Linked DNA regions of Anolis sagrei. The main gene of each other region encodes a partner of the protein of the gene in region 2 in a complex. Links are inferred from orthologs where the notes say so. Each region holds a gene or a part of one and is shown on either strand. Other genes may lie near its edges.

Region 1 (8,485 bases), on a different chromosome or scaffold from region 2:
TTTTGCCTGCATCTATGGCTGGCATCCTCAGAGGCTGTGAGGTCTGTTGGAAGCTAGGAAAATTGGGTTTATATATCTGTGGAAGGTCCAAGGTGGGAGAAAGAATTCTTATCTGTTGGAACTAGGTGTGAATGTTTCAACTGGCCAACTTGATTAGCATTTGATGGCCTGACAGTTTTTAGGTGTGCCTTTTTACTGCCTGGGGGAATTCTTAGTTGAGAGGTGATTAGCTGTTCCTGATTGTTTGTCATGATGCAAGGGCTCTGCCTTATTCAGGTAGAGATGAACCAAACCAATACCCAGTTTGTTTCAAGCAATTTAATTAAAACAGCACTTACTTTCTGGCTGCTTTAATAGTCCAAGATCTAAAACATGAAGATTGCACTCAGCCACAGAATATAAAACAAAAACAGTTGCAGGTTCAAGATAAGTCAAAAGGTCCAGTCCAATGGTCAAACGCTGAGAGTTCAATCAGCAAAGTCCAGGGATCAAGAGTCTATACCGTAGTCAAAAGCCAGTCCAAAGATTCAAGGTCCCCGGATTCCAAAGGTTCAGGAGACAGGTCATGACACCAAAAAATCCACAAACCCGGGGGAAAACCAGCAGCATCTAGCACCAAGATTAGACAAATACTTTTCTCCTGAAGATCAGTCCCAAAGCTAGCTCCTTATATCCAGAAACACCCAGCTGCAAACCATCTCTTGCATACCCCCACCCTTAATTGCTTTCACCCATGAACTCTTACGTCCAGGTTACTCAACCCTTTAGAACTAAGACTTACATTAAGCCTTCCATCGCCAACTGCTAGGCCTACCACCACCAACCACCATCAACTGCAGAACATGATACATGACATTGTTTTTTCTCTGGAGTTTCCCTGTGCTTGAGTTTTGTTTTTTATTTACTGTTATAATTTTAGTTTTTTAATACTTTGTCTTTCCTCTTCTCTGCTATCCACTGTCTCCTCCCTTTTTGATGACGTAGGAGTGGAATTCTGCGAGGGAACTTCCTCTTAAGTATAAACTCCCCTGGGTTGACTATGTGGTCTCCACCATTTTCAGACTTCTGCCCTTCTTTCTACCTATAAGGATAATAGTAAATCCATGCAGCTACATTTTGCCTGGATAAAGGCAAAATGTAGCTGCATGGATTTACTATTTACCTTTTACCTCCTTTAGAAGATGAGACTTGTAAGCTAGTGAACTCCAAGACCTTTTCTATCAAGAATGTATTACTTTTACTTCAATAAATATGTTTGAACCTAAAGTTCTGACTCTGCAATCCTAAGCCATCCTGGAGAATAGAAGCCTATCCCAGCTTGCCTCATGTAAGTTTCTGCTGGTTATGAAGTTTACTTCTGGTACGCTGCTATATTTATCGTGGAATCACCCCAACTGAGGGTTATTTTTGAGCCTATCACCTCAGATTCCCCAATATCAAGAAAGCGCATGATGTCTACACTAGATTATGAATTAGGATGAATTTTTCAGAAACTGAACTCTGCACTCTTTGCTGGTTATTGTATAGTATCTGCCCACGTTCACCATATAAGTTATTTCCAAGCCAAGAGATCAAGATCTGCAAAAGTTATGAAGTACAGAGATCAGGCAAGATAATTTTTACTCAGTAAGAAGAGTTAGGCCGATGAGCTGAACCTGTGTTGTTGCTTTAGAAAGAACAGCCTGGGGACACATCATTTGTTTAGATACATCATTATACAGAGGCTACTGTATAATGCAGACATCTGTTGCACCCCCTGAGAACAGGAACATGGTGTTGATGTTGTCACAGTAACGCAGCAGCTTTTCACCAAGGTCACTGCCCGTCAGAGACTCTGGCGAGAGGACATCTGAAAGAGGCAGCGCTTGCTCAGTGGAAAAACAAGCTCCTGTTCCTACACAAATAATAAGAAGGACAAGTTTATTTTTTCTGCTATAGTGAAAAGTAAGAGGGGATGGAACAGCTACTTAAACTCTTTTATGCCATATCCCATAGCCAAATTAATTCAATTTGTAAAAAAAAGGTTAGCTGAGAATGGAAACAAACTTTTCAAAGTCAAGCACTTTCCGGGGGAGGGAGGCAAGAGCTCTGCTTGCTGGGTTATATATGTCTGTTGAAAAAAACTTCAGTTCACTGAAGTTACTGCACAATATGTAAATGTGTGACCCCTCAAGAGATTTTGGATTGCGAGTTCTATCAACACTAGACGAAGTAGTCAGTGAGGCTGGATCTACACTGGCATTGAATCTGGAGTATCAAAACAGATGGGGTGAGCTCCCATCCGTCAACTCCAGTTTCCCATGCAGGGACATGAGAGAAGCCTCCCATAGGACGGTAACACATCCGGGCATCTCTGCAGATGGCCAATTCTCTCACACCAAAAGGGACTTGCAGTTTTTTACATCGCTTCTGATACAATAAAAAAAATCAAAGCAGATAATCCAGATTATCTCATTTGACATGGCTTATGTGTCTAGACTGCCATATAATCCAGTTCTGAATAGATAATGGAATTGGGGTATGGAAAAAATTCATTATACTGGTTTGAAAAATAATAATTTTTAACTATTAATCGTTTTAATTTATGAATCCCATTTTAATTGCATATTGTCTAATTGCATATTTTAGATATGTTTAATTTACTGTCCGATTCGATTATTCTTTGATATTGCTGTTTAGTATGTTCTCACCTGTTTACAACTGTTTATTGTTTTTCTGCACTTCACAGCATTTAATGTTGTAAACCACCCTGAGGCCCTTCCACACAGTCAAATAAAATCCCACATTATCTGCTTTGAACCAGGATATATGGCAGTGTGGACTCAGATAACCCAGTTCAAAGCAGATATTGCTGGTTATTCTGCCTTGATATTCAGGGTTATATGGTTTTGTGATAGTGCTCAGAGTCCCTCCGCGCAGAGAGGGTGGGATAGAAAGAATTTTTATTAATATTTATTATTTTATATAGCAGTGTAGATAGGACCTGAAAGGGGATAGTAATCGCAGTCCAGCAATTTCTACAGTGCAACATATTCCCAAATCCAACATTAGGTGAGTATAAGATTCACTGCAATGCAGACAGATTTATTAGCTTTATGAAGTTATATACTTGGCTGTCCATATCCATGGATTCTATATCCAGATATTAAAATACTCCAGTCTATTTGCGTGACTGTGTTTCCCCCTATGAACCCATTCAGACCTTAAGGTCCTCCAGGGAGGCCCTTCTCATGGTCTCTCCATCCTCACAAGCACGACTGTTGGAAATGCAGGAAAGGGCCTTCTCGGTAGTGGCTCCTCAGCTCTGCAATGCCCTTCCCAAAGAAATCAGACAGGCCCCCTTTCTAGCTTCAGGAAAAAAAAATGAAAACATGGACGTGGAAGCAGGCATTTGGAAATGACTATAACTTATCATGATGGTGGGTTTTTTTTATAGCTGTACAAACTGGCTTGAACTGGTTTTGCCCTGGTGCGCAATATGTTTTTAAATCCAGCAAAAAATTTAATCTGCATATTTTACTATGCTATTGTTATTTTTGGTTTGCTATGTTTTAAAAATGTTGTCATTATATATTATGTTTGGATTCTTTCTTCAGTCTTATATTTATTTATTTATTTGTAAGCTGCCCCGAGCCCTTTTGGAGAGGGGCAGGATATAAATAAAGTTGTTTATTATTATTGTTGTTGTTGTTGTTGTTGTTGTTGTTGTTGTTGTGTCAGGAGTGACTTGAGAAACTGCAGGTCGCTTCTGGTGTGAGAGAATTGGCCGTCTACAAGGACATTGCCCAGGGGGTGCCTGGATGTTTTGATATTTTACCATCCTTGTGGGAGGCTTCTCACATGTCCCTGCATGGGGAGCTGGAGCTCAACCTGCTCTCCCTGGATTCGAACTGCTGATCTATCGGTCAGCAGTCCTGCTGGCACAAGGGTTTAATCCATTGCACCACCAGGGGCTCCAGTTTATTATTATTATTATTATCATCATCATCATCATCATCATCATCATCATATTATCTGTCCAAAATGTATCTACAGTAGAGTCTTGCTCATCCAACCTTCGCTCATCCAATGTTCTGTATTATCCAACACAGTCTGCCTCCAGCCCAGATCCACAGCTTTTTCAATACATTGCAATGTTTTGGTGCTAAATTTGTAAATACAGTAATTACTACACAATGTTATCATGTATTGAACTGCTTTTTCTGTTGATTTGTTGTAGAAGATGATGTTTTGGTGCTTAATTTGTAAAATCATAATGTAATTTGAAGTTTAATAGGTTTTTCCTTAATCCAGTGGTTCTCAACCTGTGGGTCCCCAGGTGTTTTGGCCTACAACTCCTAGAAATCCCAGCCAGTTTACCAGTTGTTATGATTTCTGGGAGTCGAAGGCCAAAATATCTGGGGACCCATAGGTTGAAAACCAGTCTTAATCCCCCTTTATTATCCAACATTTTTGCTTATCCAACGTTCTGCCAGACCATTTATGTTGGATAAGCGAGACTCTACTGTATATACTGTATATAGAGGGAGCCCCTGGTGGTGCAGTGGATTAAACCGCTGAGCTGCTGAACTTGTTGACCGAAAGGTAGCAGGTTCGAATCTGGGGAGTGAGGCGAGCTCATGCTGTCAGCCCCAGCTTCTGCCAACCTAGCAGTTCAAAAACATGCAAATGTGAGTAGATCAATAGGTACCAGTCCTGTGGGAAGGTAACAGCACTCCATGCATTCATGCCGACCACGTGACCTTGGAGGTGTCTATGGACAATGCCGGTTCTTCAACTTAAAATTGGAGATTAGCACCAACCTGAGTCGGACACGGCTAGACTTAATGTCAAGGGAAAAACTTTACCTTTACTTCTGTATATATATATATATATTCACAGATTTTAGTTTTCAAGCTGCCTTACAGGTAATTCCCACCTGTTGAGATGATCAGGTATTTCATATATATATATAGATTGTCCCATAGGAAAGGTGCTGTTTGGATGGAGCCAGGGCCAGCCTTCTTTCTCTGGAGTTTGGGTTCTGCACACAACTTTCCATTTGGGACTGGAAGCTAGCCAAGAGGCAGCTTTCCTTCTCTGCTTCCTGGTCATTTCTTGGTGCCAAGCAGGGTTTCTTCCTCCTCTCCCCTGTGCCCTTCCACAGGTCAGTGTTTCAACTCAAAACTTCAGCTATCCCTCCCGCCAGGTGTTTTGGACTTCAACTCCCACGGCCTCAGGCCCTTTCCACTTAAGCGGCTGAGGGGTAAAAGGAAGGGGCCTGAGGCCGTGGGAGTTGAAGTCCAAAACACCTGGCGGGAGGGAGGGCCAAAGTTTGCCCATGCGTGTTTGAACCCTTAACCCTCCCTCCCAAACCCAGGGGTGGGTCACGTGACGAGAGGCTCGCGGTCGGGGGCGGGAGAGGGAGCGGGCTGCTGGGCAAAGCATTGTTGGTTTGGGGCAGCAGCGCGCAGACGCAGTGCGGCGGAGGGTGTGTGTGTGTGTGTGTGTGTGTGCCTGTGTGCCTGTCTATCTATGTGCGCGAGGGAGAAAGAGACACACACACACGGAGAGAGGGCTGCTACAAAGAAACACGCGAGGAGTTTGCAAGAGGAACTCGGACTCAGCCCTAGTTGGAGGCGGCGGCGACTTCTCCCGATTGGAAGCGCTTTCGGTGGGCTTGTGGCCCTCAGGCTCAGCCCACTTCTCTCCGGGGGAGAGAGGAGAGGGCGCCCCGTGTCCTTCCTTCCACGGGCGCCGGACTTGCAAGGGAGTCCCTCCACAGCCCGCCCCTTTCCCCCTCTCCGCAGGTTGCAGAGGAGCGAGGTGAGTCCGGCGCTCATTCTCCAATTGAGGGGGGGCTTCTTTGGGGGCTGTTTGGAGGAAGAGAGGGAAGGAAGGAAAGGTAGGTGGCCGGCCTGAGAAGGATGAGGAAGGCTTGATCTCAGTCCGAGGCCAGGCATGGGCAAACTTCGGCCCTCCTTCCAGGTGTTTTGGACTTCAACTCCCACTTTTCCTAACAGCCGGCAGGCCAAGCATGGGCAAACTTTGGCCCTCTCTCCAGGTGTTTTGGACTTCAAATCCCACTTTTCCTAACAGCCGGCAGGCCAGGCATGGGCAAACTTTGGCCCTCTCTCCAGATGCTTTGGACTTCAACTCCCACCATTCCTAACATCCCGTAGGCCAGGCATGGGCAAACTTTGGGCCTCCCTCCAAGTGTTTTGGATTATAGCTCCCACCATTCCTAACACTCTGAGGCCAGGCATGGGCCAACTTCAGCCCTCCCTCCAGGTGTTTTGGATTTCAACTCCCACCTTTCCTAACAGCTGGAAGGCTGGGCATGGGCAAACTTTGGTCCTCCCTTCAGGTGTTTTGAACTTCAACTCCCACCATTCCCAACAACCGGCAGGATAGGCATGGGCCAACTTAGGCCCTCTCTCCAGGTATTTTGGACTTCAACTCCTACTATTTATAACAGTCAGCAGGCCAGGTATGGGCAAACTTCAGCCCTCCCTCCAGGTGTTTTGGACTAACCTCCATAAGTCCTAACACTAGGCAGGCCAGGCATGGGCAGACTTCAGCCCTCCCTCCAGGTGTTTTGGACTTCAACTCCTACCTTTCCTAACAGCTGGCAGGCCAGGCATGGGCAAACTTGGGTCCTCCCTCCAGGTGTTTTGGACTTCAGGAATGGTGGGAGTTGAAGTCCAAAACACCTGGAGGGAGGGCCAAATTTGCCCATGCCTGGCCTAGGCTTACTTTTAGGTCTGCTTTAGCCATGGAGTCTCCCAGAGCCAATTGAACCCCATCTTTTCCAAATGCTTACCTTGACCTCCTGCCCTTTTGTCAGTCCTGGGGTTTTCCACTGCTGGATAGAGAAAGGCTAGGATGTTGTGGTGTCAGCACGTGTGCCCCCCCCCCCCTTCTGTGTTTTCTCTTTCAGCCTGGGAGTTCCCCTTCACTTGACATTGCAATGGCCCTGAGGGCGCATCTAGCATCACTGCAGCTTGACTCCATTTTAGCTGCCAGGGATCCGTGCTGTGCCACCATGGGAGCTTGTAGGCCGACAAGGTCTTGAGTAGGCATGGGCAAATTTCAACTCGCACCATTCCTAACAGCCTCAGGCCCCTTACTCCCCCCCCCCCCCGCCTCAGTCGCTTAAGCGAAAGGAAAGCACCCTGAGGCTGTTAGGAATTGTGCGAGTTGGGAGTCCAAAACACCTTGAGGGCCAGTTTGCCCAGGCCTGGTCTTGAGCCTTCTCTGCCACACAGTGCTTCCCCCCCCCCCACCCCGGTCAGGAGCAACTTGAGAAACTGCTAGTCGCTTCTGGTGTGAGAGAATTGGCCATCTGCAAGGATATTTCCCAGGGGGTGCCCAAATGTTTTGATGTTTTATCAACCTTGTGGGAGGTTTCTCTCATGTCCCCACATGGAGAGCTGGAACTGACAGAGGGAGCTCATCTGTGCTCTCCCTGGAGCGAGTCAGCAGTCCTATTGGCACAAGGGTTTAACCCATTGTTTCTCAACCTGTGGGTCTCCAGATGTTTTGGCCTTCAACTCCCAGAAATCCCAATCAGTTTACCAGCTGTTAGGATTTCTGGGAGTTGAAGGCCAAAACATCTGGGGACCCACAGGTTTAGATCCACTGGTTTACCCCATTGTGCCACTGAGGGCTCACAGTGCTGGTTCCTCCCCAAACTACACATCCCAGGATTCCTTAGCACTGAGCCCTGGCTGTGCAAGTGGGGTCAAACTGCATCCATTCTAAAGTGTAGATCCACCCTGACTTCATTTTTATCCCACCTTTCTCCCAATATACCTACTCTCAATATACTCCCAATAAACCTAAGGCCTTTCCACACAACCCTATACACATTGGACTATATGGCAGCGTGGACTCAAATAACCAAGTTCAAAGCAGATATTGTGGGATTTTCTGCCTTGATATTCTGGGATATAAGGCTGTGTGAAAGGGCCCCTGAAGTGATTTACAGGTTCAAGAAACAAGGAATCACAGGATGCACCTGCACTTTAGAATAAAGGCAATTTGACCTCACATTCACAACCGTGGCTCAATATTGTGGAATAGTGGAATAGTGGGAAGTGTCATTTGGTCAGGCACTGCCAATCTTTCGCAAAGAAGGTTAAAAAGCTGATAAAACTACAAATCCTAGGGCTCCATAGCATGGAGCCACAACTGCTAAAGTGGTGTCAAACTTTAAATTCTACACTGGGTGCATGGACATTGTGGAATGAATGTTGTGTGACCCCACTTGGAAGTGCCATGGCTCAGTGTTGTAGTTTGACAAGGTATTTAGCCTTCTCTGCCTAAGAGTACTGGCCCCTTACCAGATTGCAACTCCTGTCATTCCATAGCACTGAGCCATGGTTGTTCAAGTGTGATCAAACTGCATTAATTCTAAAACCTAGATGCATTATATGCTGTGGCTTTCCTTTGCAGGCTTCTCTGTCCTCCACCACCTCTCTTCTCAAAGTCCCTTTTTCCATTT
Region 2 (7,752 bases):
GCCAGATTTTGTTCATTTTCATGGTTTCCTCCTTTCTGTTGAAATTGTCCACATGCTTGTGGGTTTCAGTGGCTTCTCTGTGTAGTCTGACGTGGTGGTTGTGAGAGTGGTCCAGCATTTCTGTGTCCTCAAATAAAATGCTGGACCACTCCAACAACGTCAGACTACACAGAGAAGCCATTGAAATCCACAAGCATGTGGACAATTTCAACAAAAAGGAGGAAACCATGAAAATGAACAAAATTGGCTACTGGTATTAAAAAAACACTCAAAATTACAATACCAAAACAACAGAGAGGAAACAATCAGACACATCTAATCACCTCTCAACAAAAGATTCCCCCAGGCACTGCCAGGCCACCAAATGCTAATCAAGGTGGTCATTTGAAACATTCACACCTAGCTCCAGCAGACAACAGTCCTTTGTCCCACCCTGGTCATTCCACAGATACATAAACACATTTTTCCTCGTTCCAACAGACCTCACTACCTCTGAGGATGCTTGCCATAGATGCAGGTGAAACGTCAGGAGAGAATGCCTCTAGAACATGGCCATATAGCCCGAAAAAACCTACAACAACACAGAGAGGAAACAATCAGGGACATCTAATCACCTCTCAACAAAAGATTCCCCCAGGCACTGCCAGGCCATCAAATGCTAATCAAGGTGGTCAGTTGAAACATTTACACCTAGCTCCAGCAGACAAGAGTCCTTTGTCCCACCCTGGTCTTTCCACAGATATATAAACCCATTTTCCTAGTTTCAACAGACCTCACTACCTCTGAGGATGCTTGCCATAGATGCAGGCGAAATGTCAGGAGAGAATGCCTCTAGAACATGGCCATACAGCCCAAAAAAACCTACAACAACCCAATACCCTCCATCCTTTGATCATTGCAGGTCTTTGAAAAGGTGCTCTGTAAGCACCTAGAAAGGAAGGCCGTGTTCACTCAAAGTCAACATGGGTGTCTCAAAAAGTCATGCCAGAGAAACCTTATCTCTGTTTTTTGAACAGAGTTACACGCTTGGTAGATGCAGTGAAGGCTGTGGATGGGGCCTATCTCCATTTCAGGAAGGCCTTTGATAAGGTTCCCTGTGACATTCTCAGAAAGAAGCTTGCAAAACATGAGCTAGGCAGCACAACTGTGAGGTGGATTGGGAACTGGTTGACTGGCCAAAAAGTGGGTTGTTGGTGAGTTTTCCAGGCTGTATGGCCATGTTCCAGAAGCATTCTCTCCTGACGTTTCGCCCACATCTATGGCAGGCATCCTCAGAAGTTGTGAGGTCTATTGGAAACTAGGCAAGTGGAATATATATAGGTGGAATAATATCCAGGGTAGAGAAATAACTCTTGTCTGCTTGAGGCAAGTGTAAATAATAATAATAATAATAATAATAATAATAATAAGAAGAAGAAGAAGAAGAAGAAGAAGAAGAAGAAGAAGCAGAAGAGAGAAGCATCCCGAGCTCTGAAGATTACCTGGGAAGGAATCCCACTGGAGCATTGCAACGCACCCAAATACCTGGGAGTCACTCTGGACCGTGCTCTGACCTACAAGAAGCACTGCCTGAACATCAAGCAAAAAAGTGGGTGCTAGAAACAATATCATACGAAAGCTGACTGGCACAACCTGGGGATCACAACCAGACACAGTGAAGACATCTGCCCTTGCGCTGTGCTACTCTGCTGCTGAGTATGCATGCCCAGTGTGGAACACATCTCACCACGCTAAAACAGTGGATGTGGCTCTTAATGAGACATGCTGCATTATCACGGGGTGCCTGCGCCCCACACCACTGGAGAAATTACACTGCTTAGCTGGTATTGCACCACCTGACATCTGCTGGGAAGTTGCAGTCAATAGTGAAAGGACCAAGGCAGAGACATCCCCAGCCCATGCCCTGTTTGGGTATCAGCCAGCACGTCAACAACTTAAATCTAGAAATAGTTTTCTAAGATCTACAGAGACACTCGCTGGAACACCTCAGCAAGCGAGAGTCCAAAAGTGGCAGGCTCAAACCCAGAACCCCAACCAATGGCTGATACCCAATGAGAGACTCCCCGCTGGGCACACAGAGGACTGGGCGACTTGGAAGGCGCTGAACAGACTGCGCTCTGGCACCACGAGATGCAGAGCCAACTTTCAGAAATGGGGCTGCAAAGTGGAATCCTCGACATGCGAGTGTGAAGAAGAGCAAACCACTGACCACCTGTTGCAATGCACCCTGAGCCCTGCCACATGCATGATGGAGGACCTTCTTGCGGCAACACCAGAAGCACTCCAAGTGGACAGATACGGGTCAAAGGACATTTAACCAACTACTAAACTCACAAATTTTGTATTTTGTCTGTTTGTTTGCTTTGTTCTGTTAGAAATGTAATATAATTTGACTGGTTGTCCTGACACGACAAATCAATCAATCAATATAACACTTTATTTGTACCCCGTTACCATCTCCCTAAGGGACTCGGTGCGGCTTACATGAGGCCGAGCCCAAATACAACAATACAAGCAATAACAACTACAAGCAAATTAAAATAAAACATAGACAATAAAATATACAACATTATCAATAAGACAACACACAATTAAACAGTGGGAAGGCCAAATGTAAAATTAAAATTGGAAGTAATGTTGCAATGGACCAGATTGATTAGCATTGAATGGCCTTGCACTGTCAAAGCCTGCCTGGGGGAATCCTTTGTTGGGACGTGTTAGCTGGCCCTGATTGGGTTAGCTGGGCTTGCTATAGGTGTGGATGAAACGTCAGGAAGGAGAATGCTTCCTGACAGACCAGAAAACTCACAACAACCCTTTAAACACAAGCTTTCACTCCAGAAATTAAAATTGAAATCAGGGAGGATGCTGTTGCTGCCACTCTCCATCCCAGCACTCTATTTCTATAGAGGCCAACTACAAGCATATTATGCACTACCCCTTGAGTACTATAACTCCCAGGATTCCGACCATAAAAGCCTTCGACAACACATTGGCCAAAGAGTATTGACCAGTGGCTCTCTTTCGTCCTGGAGAAAAGTGACCAGTGGTATAGACCACATTGGGGTTGTCTCCTGCTGTTAGGAATTGTGGGAGTTGAAGTCCAAAACACCTGGAGGGAGAGCCGAAGTCGGCCCATGCCTGCATTAAAAGGCACATCTACACTGTAACACTAATACAGTTTGATACCTCTGGAGTCCTGGGGAGTGTAGTTTGGTGAGAGAAAGCTCAAGGCCTTGGGAAACTACAACTCCCAGAACCCCATAGCATAGAGCTATGGGCATTTGAAAGGCTATCATGCTGGATTGGAAAAGAATGGGAACCCTTTCCCATGCTGATGTTGGACTACAATTCCCAGAATCCCCCAGAAGATCCTGGGAATTGTAGTTCCTATTTGCAACAATTCCTATTTGGACTACAATTCCCAGAATCCCCCACTTCCTATTTGGACTACAATTCCCAGAATCCCCCAGAAGATCCTATTTGCAACAATTCCTATTTGGACTACAATTCTCAGAATCCCTCAGTTCCTATTTGGACTACAATTCCCAGAATCCCCCAGAAGATCCTGGGAATTGTAGTTCCTATTTGCAACCATTCCTATTTGGACTACAATTTCCAGAACCCCCCAGAAGATCCTGGGAATTGTAGTTCCTATTTGCAACAATTCCTATTCGGACTACAATTCCTATTTGGACTACAATTCCCAGAATCCCCCGTTCCTATTTGGACTACAATTCCCAGAATCACCCAGTTCCTATTTGGACTACAATTCCCAGAATCCCCCAGAAGATCCTGGGAATTGTAGTTCCTATTTGCAACAATTCCTATTTGGAGTACAATTCCCAGAATCCCCCAGAAGATCCTGGGAATTGTAGTTCCTATTTGCAACAATTCCTATTCGGACTACAATTCCTATTTGGACTACAATTCCCAGAATCCCCCGGAAAGATCCTGGGATTTGTAGTTCCTTTTTGCAACAATTTCTATTTGGAGTACATTCCCAGAATCCCCCAGTTCCTATTTGGACTACAATTCCCAGAATCCCCCAGAAGATCCTGGGAATTGCAGTTCCTATTTGCAACAATTCCTATTCGGACTACAATTCCTATTTGGACTACAATTCCCAGAAACCCCCAGTTCCCATTTGAACTACAATTCCCAGAATCCCCCAGTTCCCATTTGGACTACAATTCCCAGAATCCCCCGGAAGATCCTGGGAATTGTAGTTCCTATTTGCAACGACTGGAACCCTTCCTAATTTGGCCCCCCACAAAGAAGGGCCTCTCCACCACGTGGGCTTTTTCCTCTCCTGGCCTGCTTTGGGGCCTACTCCTTCCTCCTCGCCTCCCATTGGCTACCTCCTTTCCCGCCCCTTCCTGACAGGCGCGGCGGAGAGCCAATCAGCGTCGCCTTTCTCCTCCTTGACGTCACGTCTCCAGCTTTCTCAGTAAGCCCCGCCACTTTGACGTCACCCAGTTCCGGCGATTCAACCAATCAGCGCGAGTCTCCGTCAACGCCTGACGCGGGGTGTGTTTTTTTTTTAACAGGGCAGCCAATCAGAGAGAAGCCGGTCTAGCTGACGGGCAGTGCGATGGTCCAATAGGAGGAGGGGAAACAAGGGGCGGGACTTAGCCTGCGGGCCAATAAGGGAGGGGCCGGTGGGCGGGACTAGGCGGCTGTTATAAGGTGGAGTGAAGCGGGCGGGGCTAGGACCTTTCTGCCCAGAATGTCTGCGAGTCAAGAGAGCCGGTGAGTGAGCGCGAGGGAAGGCTCTTCCCTTCTCCCCCTCCCCCCCCCTCCGCGCTAGGCCGCGGCTGTTCCTTCTTCCTTCCATCCTCCCTCCGCGGTGGAACAAACCATTTCCGCAGTAGGTGGGATAATATTAGAAATCCCTCGTTATTCCTATTTTAACAATCCTGGGTGTTATTATTTTGCTTTTGTTTCATTTTCGTGACCTTTTTTTCATCCTTTGGCCTTAAGTTCCCTTTTCTTCCTGACCACGTGGCCGATTCCTTTCCCTCCCGCTTTCCCCCCCTAAAAACGGATTGGACTCTCCCTCGCCCTTTTAGTCCCTTATGGACCTCTGGGCGGAACCATTTCCTTTCCGGGGGTGGTGGTGAGAAAAAATAGAGGAGAGGTAGGCCTCGAGCGTTGGCGCGGCCTTCGCCTTGGCCTATCTCCTCGGCGCCATTTCGCGCATCGAGGGCGCTCTCAGTGGAGTTGCAATCCCACCTCGCCCCGCATTTCGCGCACCCACTTCACCCCCATTTTTGAAATAGTTTCGTCCCTTCCTTTTGCTTTCCTACATGGCGGACGAATCCATTTAATTTCGAGGGTGCCCTTAGTGGAGTTGCAATCCTCCCCATTTCTAAAATAGTTTCGTCCCTCCCGTTGATTTCCTACATGGCGGACGAATCCATTAAATTTCGAGGGTGCCCTTAGTGGAATTGCGACCCCCCTCCATTTCTAAAATAGTTTCGTCCCTCCCGTTGGCTTCCTACATGGCGGACGAGTCCATTTAATTTCCGAGGGGGGTTGTTTATTATTTTTAAATTGTATTTTCCACTTTTTTTCGTGGAATGTGCACGGCGTCGCTTCTCCTTTCCCCCACGCGAGGAGCCATTTTGCGTCTCGTTCTTACACAACTTTCTCGTTCTTACACAATGGTTCCTTTCCCCCCATTTCCAACTCTTAACCCCCCCTTCCCGGAACATTTGGTATTTCCCAGCGCCGTGTTTCTTTGGGGCGCTTGGGCGAGACGATTCCTTTATACCGGGGGATCCTCATTTCCAACTCTTAACCCCTCCCGGAATATTTGGAATGTACCAGCGCCTTGTTTCTTTGGGACGCTTGGGAGAGACCATTCCTTTATAGGGCGAGACCCTCGTTTCCAACTGTAATCCCCCCTCCTGGAGGATTTGGTATATCCCAGTGCCTTGTTACTTTGGGTCGCTTGGACGAGACCATTCCTTTATACGGGGAACACTCAGGCGAACCTATTCCCGATCCCCCAACTCTACCGACCCCTCCCGAAACACTTGGTATTTCCCAGCGCCTTGTTTCTTTGGGACGCTTGGGCGACACCATTCCTATATACGGGGGACCCCTCATTTCCAACTCTAATCGCCCCTCCCGGAACATTTGGTGAATCCCAGTGCCTTGTTTCTTTGGGACGCTTGGGCGAGACCATTCCTTTAAACGGGGGACGCTCAGGCGAACCTATTCCCGATCCCCCAACTCTACCCACCCCTCCCGAAACACTTGGTATTTCCCAGCGTCTTGTTTCTTAGGGACGCTTGGGCGAGACCATTCCTTTTTAGGAGGACGCTCAGTTCGACCCCTTCCGCCATTCTCCAATGAGAAAACCCATTTTCCACCTCTTCGTTGGAAATCATTTCTTTGGGTCGCTTGGGCGAGACCATTCCCTTAATGGGGAGGCACGCTAAGGCGAAACCATTCCCGAATTCCTTCTCTAATGGGGAAATCCAATTAGTTGGAAATTGTGAATCCTAGAATCTCCTTTTCCCATCTCTATTCTCGAATGGGAAATTCCATTAGTTGTGAATCCTAGAATCTCCTTATTTTCCCCTCCCCCCCCCCTTTTTTTGGGCGCGTCCATTTTTTCCTCTCTCCTTCCATTGCCCATTGTCCTGCCGCTCTGCATCCGGGAACTTTTCGGCTGCCCGTGACGTCACGCGGCCCCCGTGGCCGCAGGCGAGCAAAAAAGGGCGGGGCCTCGCTGGCCTTATAAGGAAATTCCGGAAGTGGGAGGCGCCGCAGAGGCCTCGAGCCCCGCGCGCTGGGAAAAGACCCGGATGTCAGGAAGGAAGGGCGCGAGGCCGGCGGAACTTCCGGTCTGGGAGGCCCAAAATGGTGTTTTCGGGTCAAAAATGGCGGCAGAGCTGTGTTGCCACCTTCGAGGGCCAACTATATCGATGGGAGAAACATAATTCAAGAGACTGAAGGCCCTGGGGGTGTTTTGGACTCCAATTTCCATCATTCCCAGCAGCCTCAGAACTTTTTCAGCCAAATTGGGCCCTGGGGGTGTTTTGGACTCCAACTCCCATCATTCCTAGCAGCCTCAGGCCTTTTCCTTTTCCCCTCAGCCGATATTCCACAGATATATCATAGAATCATAGACTCAAAGAATTGGAAGAGACCTCCTGGGCCATCCAGTCCAACCCCATTCAGCCAAGAAGCAGGAATATTGCATTCAAATCACCCCTGACAGATGGCCATCCGGCCTCTGTTTAAAAGCTTCCAAAGAAGGAGCCTCCACCACACTCCGGGGCAGAGAATTCCACTGCTGAACGGCTCTCACAGTCAGGAAGTTCTTCTTCATGTTCAGATGGAATTTATTAACATAAAAGCTCAAAAAATACAATATATCATAGAAATCATAAAACACTAACATATAAATACATTCAATAAGCTGTTAAAAACAGTACACATAGACCTGAAAACACTCCAGAAGCCGTTCCAAAACACTAACATATAAATACATTCATTAAGCTGTTAAAAACAGTACACATAGACCTGAAAACACTCCAGAAGCCGTTCCAATCGCAACGCCGTCACTTCGTAGCTGCCTATAGCCCTGTGCTACACTCCAAATGCCTGGTTCCATAACCAGTTTTTAACTTCCTTTCTAAAGGATAGGAGGGGAGGGCACAATACAATACGTATGTGCAGATTGTCCAGACAGGAAAATAGAAGATAAGGAATTGACAAGAATGTAGCCTTGATCTT
Region 3 (7,925 bases), on a different chromosome or scaffold from region 2:
TGAGTTTTTCCAAACTCAGAAGAGTCAGAGGTCTGGAGAAGTTGCAGTGTGACACAATCTTCAGCCTCTTCTGCCAAAGTGCAGGTGCTTCACCAAACAATAGTTCCCAGGATCCCATAGCATTGAGCCTTTGCAGTTAAAGTTGTGCCAAACTGCATCACTTCTACGGAGTAGATGGATCCCAAAGTCTAGATACATGTTCTTTGCAACTGTCCCCCATTCTGTCTTTTTTCATCTATATCAGTGTTTCTCAACCTGGAAATTGGGACCCGGGGGGGGGGGGGGGGTCGCAAGGGGGTGTCAGGGGGGGGGGTCGTTAAAGACCACCAGAAAACACAGTATTTTCTGTTGGTCATGGGGATTCTGTGTGGGTGTTCGTTTGTGGGGTTCAGAATGCTCTTTTTTTGTAGGTGAACTACAACTCCCAAATGTCAAGGTCTATTTTCCCCAAACTCCACCAGTGGTCACATTTGGGCATATTGAATATCCGTGCCAAGTTTGGTCCAGATCCCTCATTGTTTGAGTCCACAGTGCTCTCTGGATGTAGGTGAACTACAACTCCCAAACTTCCAATGCACACCAAACCTTTCCAGTATTTTCTGTTGGTTATGGGAGTTATGTGATTCAATTTCATCGTTGGTGGAGTTCAGAATGCTCTTTGATTGTAGGTGAACTACAGGCATGCAGCTGGGGGGTTGGGGGGCTTCAGCCCCCCCCCCCCCCCGAAATTCTGATGGTGGTCCGTGAGAAGGCCTTACTGGTACATTATTTAAACTGTTATGTTTATTCATATCATGATCTGATCACCATGATCAATATATCCCATATGCATGGGGGTATTGGGGTAACAATACAAAAGGTTTGCTAGGGTAGACCCTCTTTCACTCAGACTCAGCCCCCCCCCCCCCCCCGAAACAAAATCCTGGCTACGGGCCTGGTGAACTATAAATCCCATCAGCTACAAAATCAATCCAAACCCCACCAATATTTAAATTTAGGTGTATTGGGTATTTGTATCAAATTTGGACCAGTGAATGAAAATACATCCTGCATGTCAAATATTTACATTGGGATTCATAACAGTAGCAAAATTATGATGCAGCAATGAAAATAATTTTATGGTCGGGGGTCACCACAACATGAGAAACTGTATTAAGGGGTCACGGCATTAGGAAGGTTGAGATCTATATGTTACGTGTGAGCTTTTTATGGTTCTTTTTTATCTTTTACGATCTCACTCATTCAGCAATGCATTTGATGGCAAGACTGGTTTCTGGGTAAATACGGTTAAGATCCGGTTAGGCTGCAATTGAGGCTTATTGTTTACCGGACCGTGAAATCCCACACGGGACATTTCTTTCCCAATAATTGCTGGGTTGAGGTCGTGCGGAGGGACACTCAGTACTTTTCCATGTTGGAGAATATCGGGATGTTCAAAGACTGAGGGTGTGTTTGCTTCTCCGTGTTTAAAAAAGATGGCTTCAAGGATTGGGGGAGGGGGAAACAAATTTTTGAAAAGCCACTCATTCTTGGCATATGAATCACAAGCTGAAAAACGTCGGTCATAAGTTTTCTGACATTAACATGAATTAGGATGACAGATGAAGAGGCCAGTGTGGAGTGCAATAGAGTTGGTCCTCTCAACATCTGCGGGTTTCAATTTTGCAAATTTGACTATTTGTGGGTTTAATTAATAAATCTGGGGGGTCTAGAGCAGGTATGGGCAAACTTTGGCCCTCCAGGTGTTTTGGACTTCAACTCCCACAATTCCTAACAGCTTACCGGCTGTTAGGAATTATGGAAGTCCAAAACACCTGGAGGGCCAAAGTTTGCCCATACATTGCCTAGAGATTCCTAGAGACAATACTTCCCTTTAAGTCAGTGGTTTTCACCCTTCCTAATGCAGCAACCCCTTAATATAGTTCCTCATGTTGTGGTGACTCCCAACCATCAAATCATTTTCGTTGCTACTTCATAACTGTAATTTTGCTCCTGTTGTGAATCATAATGTAAATATCTGATATGCAGGATGTATTTTCACTCACTTGACCAAATCTGGTTCAAATACCTAATATGCCCAAATTTGAATATTGGTAGGGTTGGGGGGGGGGGGGTATTGATTTTGTCATTTGGGAGTTGTAGTTGCTGGGATTTATAGTTTACCTACATCCAGAGAGCATTCCGAACTCCACCAAGGATGGAATTGAACCAAACTTGGCACACAGAACTCCCATGGCCAACAGAAAATATTGAAAGAGTTTGGTGGGCACTGACCTTGAGTTTGGGAGTTGTAGTTCACCTACATGCAGAGAGCACTGTGGACTCAAACAATGATGGATCTGGACCAAACTTGGCACGGATACTCAATATGCCCAAATGTGAACAATGGTGGAGTTTGGGGGAAATAGATCTTGCCATATGGGAGTTGTAGTTTCTGGGATTTATAGTTCACCTACAATCAAAGAGCATTCTGAACTCCACCAACGATGGAATTGAACCAAACTTGGAACAAAACTCCCATGACCAACTGAAAATACTGGAAGGGTTTGGTGGGCACTCACCTTGAATTTGGGAGTTGTACTTACTTACTTACTTAGGCGATCCCTCGTTGGACGAGTAAGATGGTCTTCCATTATGCGTTTCCTTGTGGGTTCGTAGGTGGCTGTGGAGCCCTATTCTTGACCTGCATCTTCTCCCACAGTGAGGGCATTGGTTTCCAGGTGGAAGGCGGTCCCAGTTGGGGTTGGTTTGACGCGCCTTCCTCCTGGCACGTTTCTCTCTTTCGCCCTCCACTCGTGCCTCCTTGAATTCTGTAGCACTGCTGGTCACAGCTGACCTCCAGCTGGAGCACTGAAGGGCCAGGGCTTCCCAGTTCTCAGTGTCTATGCCAGAGATTTTAAGGTTGGCTTTGAGCCCATCTTTAAATCTCTTTTCCTGTCCACCAACATTCCGTTTTCCGTTCTTAAGTTCAGAGTAGAGCAACTGCTTTGGGAGGCGGTGATCAGGCATCCGAACAACGTGGCCGGTCCAGCGGAGTTGATGGCAGAGAACCATAGCTTCAATGTAGTTCACCTACATCCAGAGAGCACTGTGGACTCAAACAAAGATAGATCTGGACTAAACTTGGCACAAATACTCAATATGCCCAAATGTGAACACTGGTGGAGTTTGGAGAAAATAGACCTTGACATTTAGGAGTTGTAGTTGCTGGGATTTATAGTTCACCTACAACCAAAGAGCATTCTGAACCCCACCAACAATAGAATTGAACCAAACTTCCTACACAGAACTCCCATGACAAACAGAAAATACAGTTTTCTGACAACTCCTCTGACACCCCCCCCCCCCACTCTGCTTTAAGTGTCTGCAGGTCCTCCAGAATTCACTGGAGGATCAAAGTGCATCTACAGTGTAGAATGAATGGAGTGTAAAGCCACTTTCATCTACCATGGCTCCATGCTTTGGAATCCTGGGATTTGTAGTTTGGCGAGACTCTAGTACTTTGGCTTTAAAAAAACTTGAAAACTACAACTCCCAGCATCCCATAGTATTGAGCCTTTGCAGTTAAAAGTGATATCAACCCTCATTAATTCTAGTGTAGATGCACCCTAAGTAAGTACACCTCCCTAAACTGCAAATCCCATTATTACATTGGAATTATGACTCTATACATTACATTGGACCCCTACAGTCATGATAATTATAGAGTTCCAAAACCCTTCTTATTGTAGAATGAGTGCAACTTGGCTGCAGACTATTGGGAGTTGTAGTTTCACAGGGTCTTGAGCCTTCACTGTCAAAGAGCAGTGAAGGCTCAAGATTGGTGGATTAGTGGTCCACCAATCTACAGCTCCCAGGGTTACATAGCATTGAGCCTTGGCAGTTAAGTGAGGTCAACCCGCACTAATTCCACAGTGTAGATGCACTCAAAGCAAGTACACCTCCCTTAACATTTCATCGAAATAATGACCCTATAAATTACATAGGACCCCTAAAGTCAGGATTGTTATAGAATCCCAAGTTTCTTCTTAATGCAGCTTGGCTGAAGAATCTTGGGAGTTGTAGTTTCACAAGCTCTTGAGCCTTCCCTGTCAAAGAGGACTGGTGATCCACCAATCTACAGCTCTCAGCATTGAGTCTTGGCAGTTAAGTGAGGTCAACCCGCATTAATTCTACAGTGCAGATGCACTCTAAGCAAGTACACCTCCATAACAACAAATCCCATCATTTCATTGGAATTATGACCCTATAAAGTACACAGGATCCCTAAAGTCATGATAATTATAGAGTATCAAGTCCTTTCTGAAACAATCTTGGGAGTTGTAGTTTCACATGATCTTGAGCCTTCCCTGCCAATGAGGACTGGTGATCCACCAATCCACAGCTCTCAGGGTTCCATAGCCTTGAGCCTTGGCACTTAAAGCGCTGTCAAAGCGCATTGATCCTACATTGTAGCTGCGCCCATTGAAAGTGGCCTTACTTCCGGGAGCTAAATCCACCTGCGCCAGCAAAAATGGCGTCCTGAGGCCACGCCGCCGCTTGGGAAGGCGACACGCCCACGCCTCGTGCGGCGGGAAGGGGGCGTGCCGATGCTAATTAAAAGGGCGGCCTCCTCCAATGGCGTCCCGCCTTGAGCTTTGGGAGGCGGGGCTAGCCCTGGGTGAAACGTGGGCGAAAGCGGAGGTCTGTTTGAAAACAAGCGGAGGAGGCGGTGACCGTGGTGGAGGGACCCGCCGGGGAAGGAGGCAGCGGCCCTTCGGAGTCTCTGCAGCCAGGGGGGAAAAAAAGGTGAATTTCCAAACATTTTTGAAGTGTTGACCCCTTGAGGAAACCTAAAAGGAGCAGCCTAGGAGTGCAAAAAAAACAAAACCCCAAAACAAACCAGGGGAGATCTACACTGTAGAGTTGATGCAGTTTGATACCGCTTTAACTGCCATGGCTCAGTGCTATGGAATCCTGGCTTGCTTGGTGGGATACCAACTGATTCTTTGGCATCTAAAGACCTTTGCAAAACTGCTAGATTCCCAGGATTACATCACATTGAGCCCTGGCAGCTAAAGTGGTATCAAACTGCATTAATCCTACAGTGTAGATGCACCCTTGAGCAAGTGCTGAAAAGACCCGATGTTTTGGACTCTGTTTGTGGTACGAGGGACATGTAACTGATCGTTGGCTCTCTTGGTGTTTTGGATTGTTTATATTGCTATTATTTGGATTGTTTATATTGTTATTATTTGGGTTGTTTATATTATAATTCAAGATTTAAGGAAGCCAAGCCAGACCTCTTGAGATCTGATCCTAGAGATGCCAAGGATTGCCATGGGGTGCACCTGCACTGCAGAATTAATGCAGTTTGACATCCCTTTGTTCAGTGCTGTGGAATCTTGGGATTTGTACTTTGGCATTCTTTGTGAAACTACAACTCCCAGGATTCCATAGCATTGAGTCTTGGCAGTAAAAGACTTGTGTGCAGCCCATGTTTTGGATTGTATTTATTTCGGTGTCTCTGGTGCGAGAGATATGTCACTGATTGTTGCCTTCCTTGGTATTTCAGATTGTTTATATTATTATTGTTGTTATTATTCAAGAATTAAAGAAGCTAAGCCAGATCTCGTAAGATCCGATCCTATAGATGCATAGGATTGCCATGGGGTGCATCTGCACTGCAGAATTAATGCACTTTTGACATCACTTTAACTTCCATTGCTCAATGCTGTGGAATCTTGGGATTTGTAGTTTGGCATTCTTTACTGTGAAACTACAACTCCCAGGATTCCATAGCATTGAGCTTTGGCAGTTAAAGTGGTGGCAAACTGCATTAATTCTGCCATGTAGGTGCATCCTATGATGCAAATGGGAATCACGTTTTTGCTTGTAGTGCAAGTCCTGTGCACCTTTCCTCCTAAGTTAGCTCTGTGCCTATCTTTACAAAATGTACACAGCATTGCAGCCTTGAATGTCAGTTTTATAGGGAATGTGCTGCTTTCAATTCAATAGGACCTTCATAGGAAGCAAATTTTCTTTGAACCTAGCAGTTCAAAAACATGCAAATGTGAGTAGATCAGTAGATACTGCTCTGGCAGGAAGGTAACAGCGCTCTGAGCAGTCATGCCGGCCACATGACCTTGGAGATATCTACGGACAACGCTGGCTCTTCGGCTTAAAAATGGAGATGAGCACCACCCCCCAGAGTCGGACACGACTGGACTTAATGTCAGGGGAAAACCTTTACATTTATCTTGTAATTTCAAGTTACTCAATGGTGGTTTTAAATTGTATTGTGCTGTTGTTTATTTGTTTATGCTGTTTTATGAATTTTAATGCTTCATATTTTAACCCCACGTAAGCCGGGGAGATGGAGGCGGGATACAAAAATACAGTTATTATTATGGGTTTTTGTGAGTTTTTTGAGCTGCATGGTCATGTTCCAGAAGCATTCTCTCCTGAGGTTTCGCCTGCATCTATGGCAGGCATCCTCAGAGGTTGTGAGGTCCTCACCATAGATGCAGGCAAAACATCAGGAGAGAATACTTCTGGAACATGGTCATACAGCCCGAAAAACTTACGACAACCCAGTAGTTCCGGCCATGAAAACCTTCAAAAATATATTATTATTATTTGAAACATAACAAGATGAGTCCACAGTTGTATTGAATCACACGTCAGACACTTCCCAAGTGTCTATAATAATAATAATAATAATAATAATAATAATAATAGTAATTATTATTATTAGTATTATTTGAAACACCACAAGATGAGTCCACAGCAAACACTCTGCTGGCTGTTGTATTGGATCACACATTGGACACTTCCCAAGTGTCTAGGACTGTGTGATGTATAAGCAAATAATGCGTGCAGATCCCAGTTATTATTATTATTATTATTATTATTATTATTATTATTATATGTTTTTGCAAGGTGGTTTGCAGGGCAAACTCATCCAGCTCCTTGGTGGGACATGTATCCAAGGTGCATAGGAATGCAACTTGACTTCATATAAAAAGAAATTGGTTTTATTACTTTATGAAAAGAAGGTAGATGGGTGTGTGTATGTGAGAGAGATAATAGATGTGGAGTGCTGCTTTTCTTTAGTGGTGCCTCTACGTTGCAAATTTAATGAAGTTTAATGTGTTGTCGAAGGCCTTCATAGCTGGAATCACTGGGTTGCGTGAGTTTTCCAGCTAATCACTAATCAACAAAGGATTCCCCCAGGCAGGTAGCAGCCAAGCCTTGAAGCTGCAAAGCTTTTCAGTGCTACTCAAGGTGGCCAATTGCAGCATTCACACTTGCCTCAAACAGACAAGAGTTCTTTCTCCCACCCTGGATGTTCCACAGATATATAAACCCCACTTTCCTTGTTTCCAACAAACTACACAACCTTTGAGAATGCCTGCCATAGATGTGGGAGAAACAACAGGAGATAATGCTTCTGGAACATGGCCATACAGCCCGGAAAACTAACAGCAACTACAAGAGCTTGCCTTCCCTAATTCTTCTAATATTTGATAGCTTTAGTGTACTCAGGAATTGAAGTTTTGTCTCTTTTGTAGGAAGTCTATACTCTTTTGACACAACTTAAACTCCCAAGGCTCAGTGCTATGGAATCCTGGGATTTGTAGTTTGGTACTCTTTGGCAGAGAAGGTTAAAGACCGCAGAGAACTACAACTCCCACAATTCAATAGCATGGTACGTGCATCCACACTGTAGAATGAATTGCAGTTTGACACTACTTTAACTCATATGGCTCAGTGCTGTGGAATCCTGGGAGTTGTAGCTTTATCACAGTCATGGGAAAATTTTGGCCCTCCGGGAGTTTTGGACTTCAACTCCCACAATTCCGCTGTTAGGAATTGTGGAAGTTGGAATCCAAAACATCCAGAGGGCCAAAGTTTGCCCATGCCTGCTTTATCGGGTCGTTTTC

The links.
Region 1: the proteins of EIF4A1 (region 2) and KANK1 are in contact, whole or in part, in a crystal structure (PDB 7DDX), measured with the Mus musculus proteins. The link is inferred for Anolis sagrei from reciprocal best matches to the Homo sapiens genes EIF4A1 and KANK1. Residues at the interface, in NP_659207.1 of Mus musculus: Lys99, Val140, Arg141, Val144, Gln145, Lys146, Leu147, Gln148, Met149, Glu150, Ala151, Arg168, Arg169, Tyr170, Ser172; in NP_852069.4 of Mus musculus: Gly1168, Asn1169, Asn1171, His1175, Tyr1176, Val1178, Asn1201, Lys1202, Ala1203, Tyr1205, Met1209, Leu1210, Leu1213, Ala1214, Ala1215, Gln1240, Ala1241, Leu1248, Ser1251, His1252, Arg1254, Asp1273, Glu1274, His1285.
Region 3: the proteins of EIF4A1 (region 2) and PDCD4 are in contact, whole or in part, in a crystal structure (PDB 2ZU6), measured with the Homo sapiens proteins. The link is inferred for Anolis sagrei from reciprocal best matches to the Homo sapiens genes EIF4A1 and PDCD4. Residues at the interface, in NP_001407.1 of Homo sapiens: Gln75, Thr109, Arg110, Glu111, Ile135, Gly137, Val140, Thr158, Gly160, Arg161, Asp164, Glu186, Leu188, Ser189, Arg190, Gly191, Phe192, Gln195, Ala214, Thr215, Met216, Pro217, Glu240, Leu241, Thr242, Asn280, Thr281, Arg282, Arg283, Thr329; in NP_055271.2 of Homo sapiens: Pro170, Gln173, Glu174, Glu177, His178, Glu183, Glu186, Met187, Asp190, Leu209, Glu210, Lys212, Glu249, Leu250, Leu252, Asp253, Thr254, Pro255, Arg256, Gly320, Gln321, Gln322, Ser323, Val324, Leu327, Glu348, Lys352, Glu355, Val356, Pro357.

The regions. Positions count from the first base shown.
Region 1 is NC_090022.1:221,264,258-221,272,742, reverse strand, and holds the start of KANK1 (KN motif and ankyrin repeat domain-containing protein 1), read left to right. Parts: upstream 1-5,413; 5' UTR 5,414-5,805; intron 5,806-8,485.
Region 2 is NC_090026.1:3,281,212-3,288,963, reverse strand, and holds the start of EIF4A1 (eukaryotic initiation factor 4A-I), read left to right. Parts: upstream 1-4,677; 5' UTR 4,678-4,729; coding exon 4,730-4,752; intron 4,753-7,752. UniProt on the Homo sapiens protein: ATP-dependent RNA helicase which is a subunit of the eIF4F complex involved in cap recognition and is required for mRNA binding to ribosome.
Region 3 is NC_090023.1:209,438,745-209,446,669, reverse strand, and holds the start of PDCD4 (programmed cell death protein 4), read left to right. Parts: upstream 1-4,680; 5' UTR 4,681-4,788; intron 4,789-7,925. UniProt on the Homo sapiens protein: Inhibits translation initiation and cap-dependent translation. May excert its function by hindering the interaction between EIF4A1 and EIF4G. Inhibits the helicase activity of EIF4A. Modulates the activation of JUN kinase.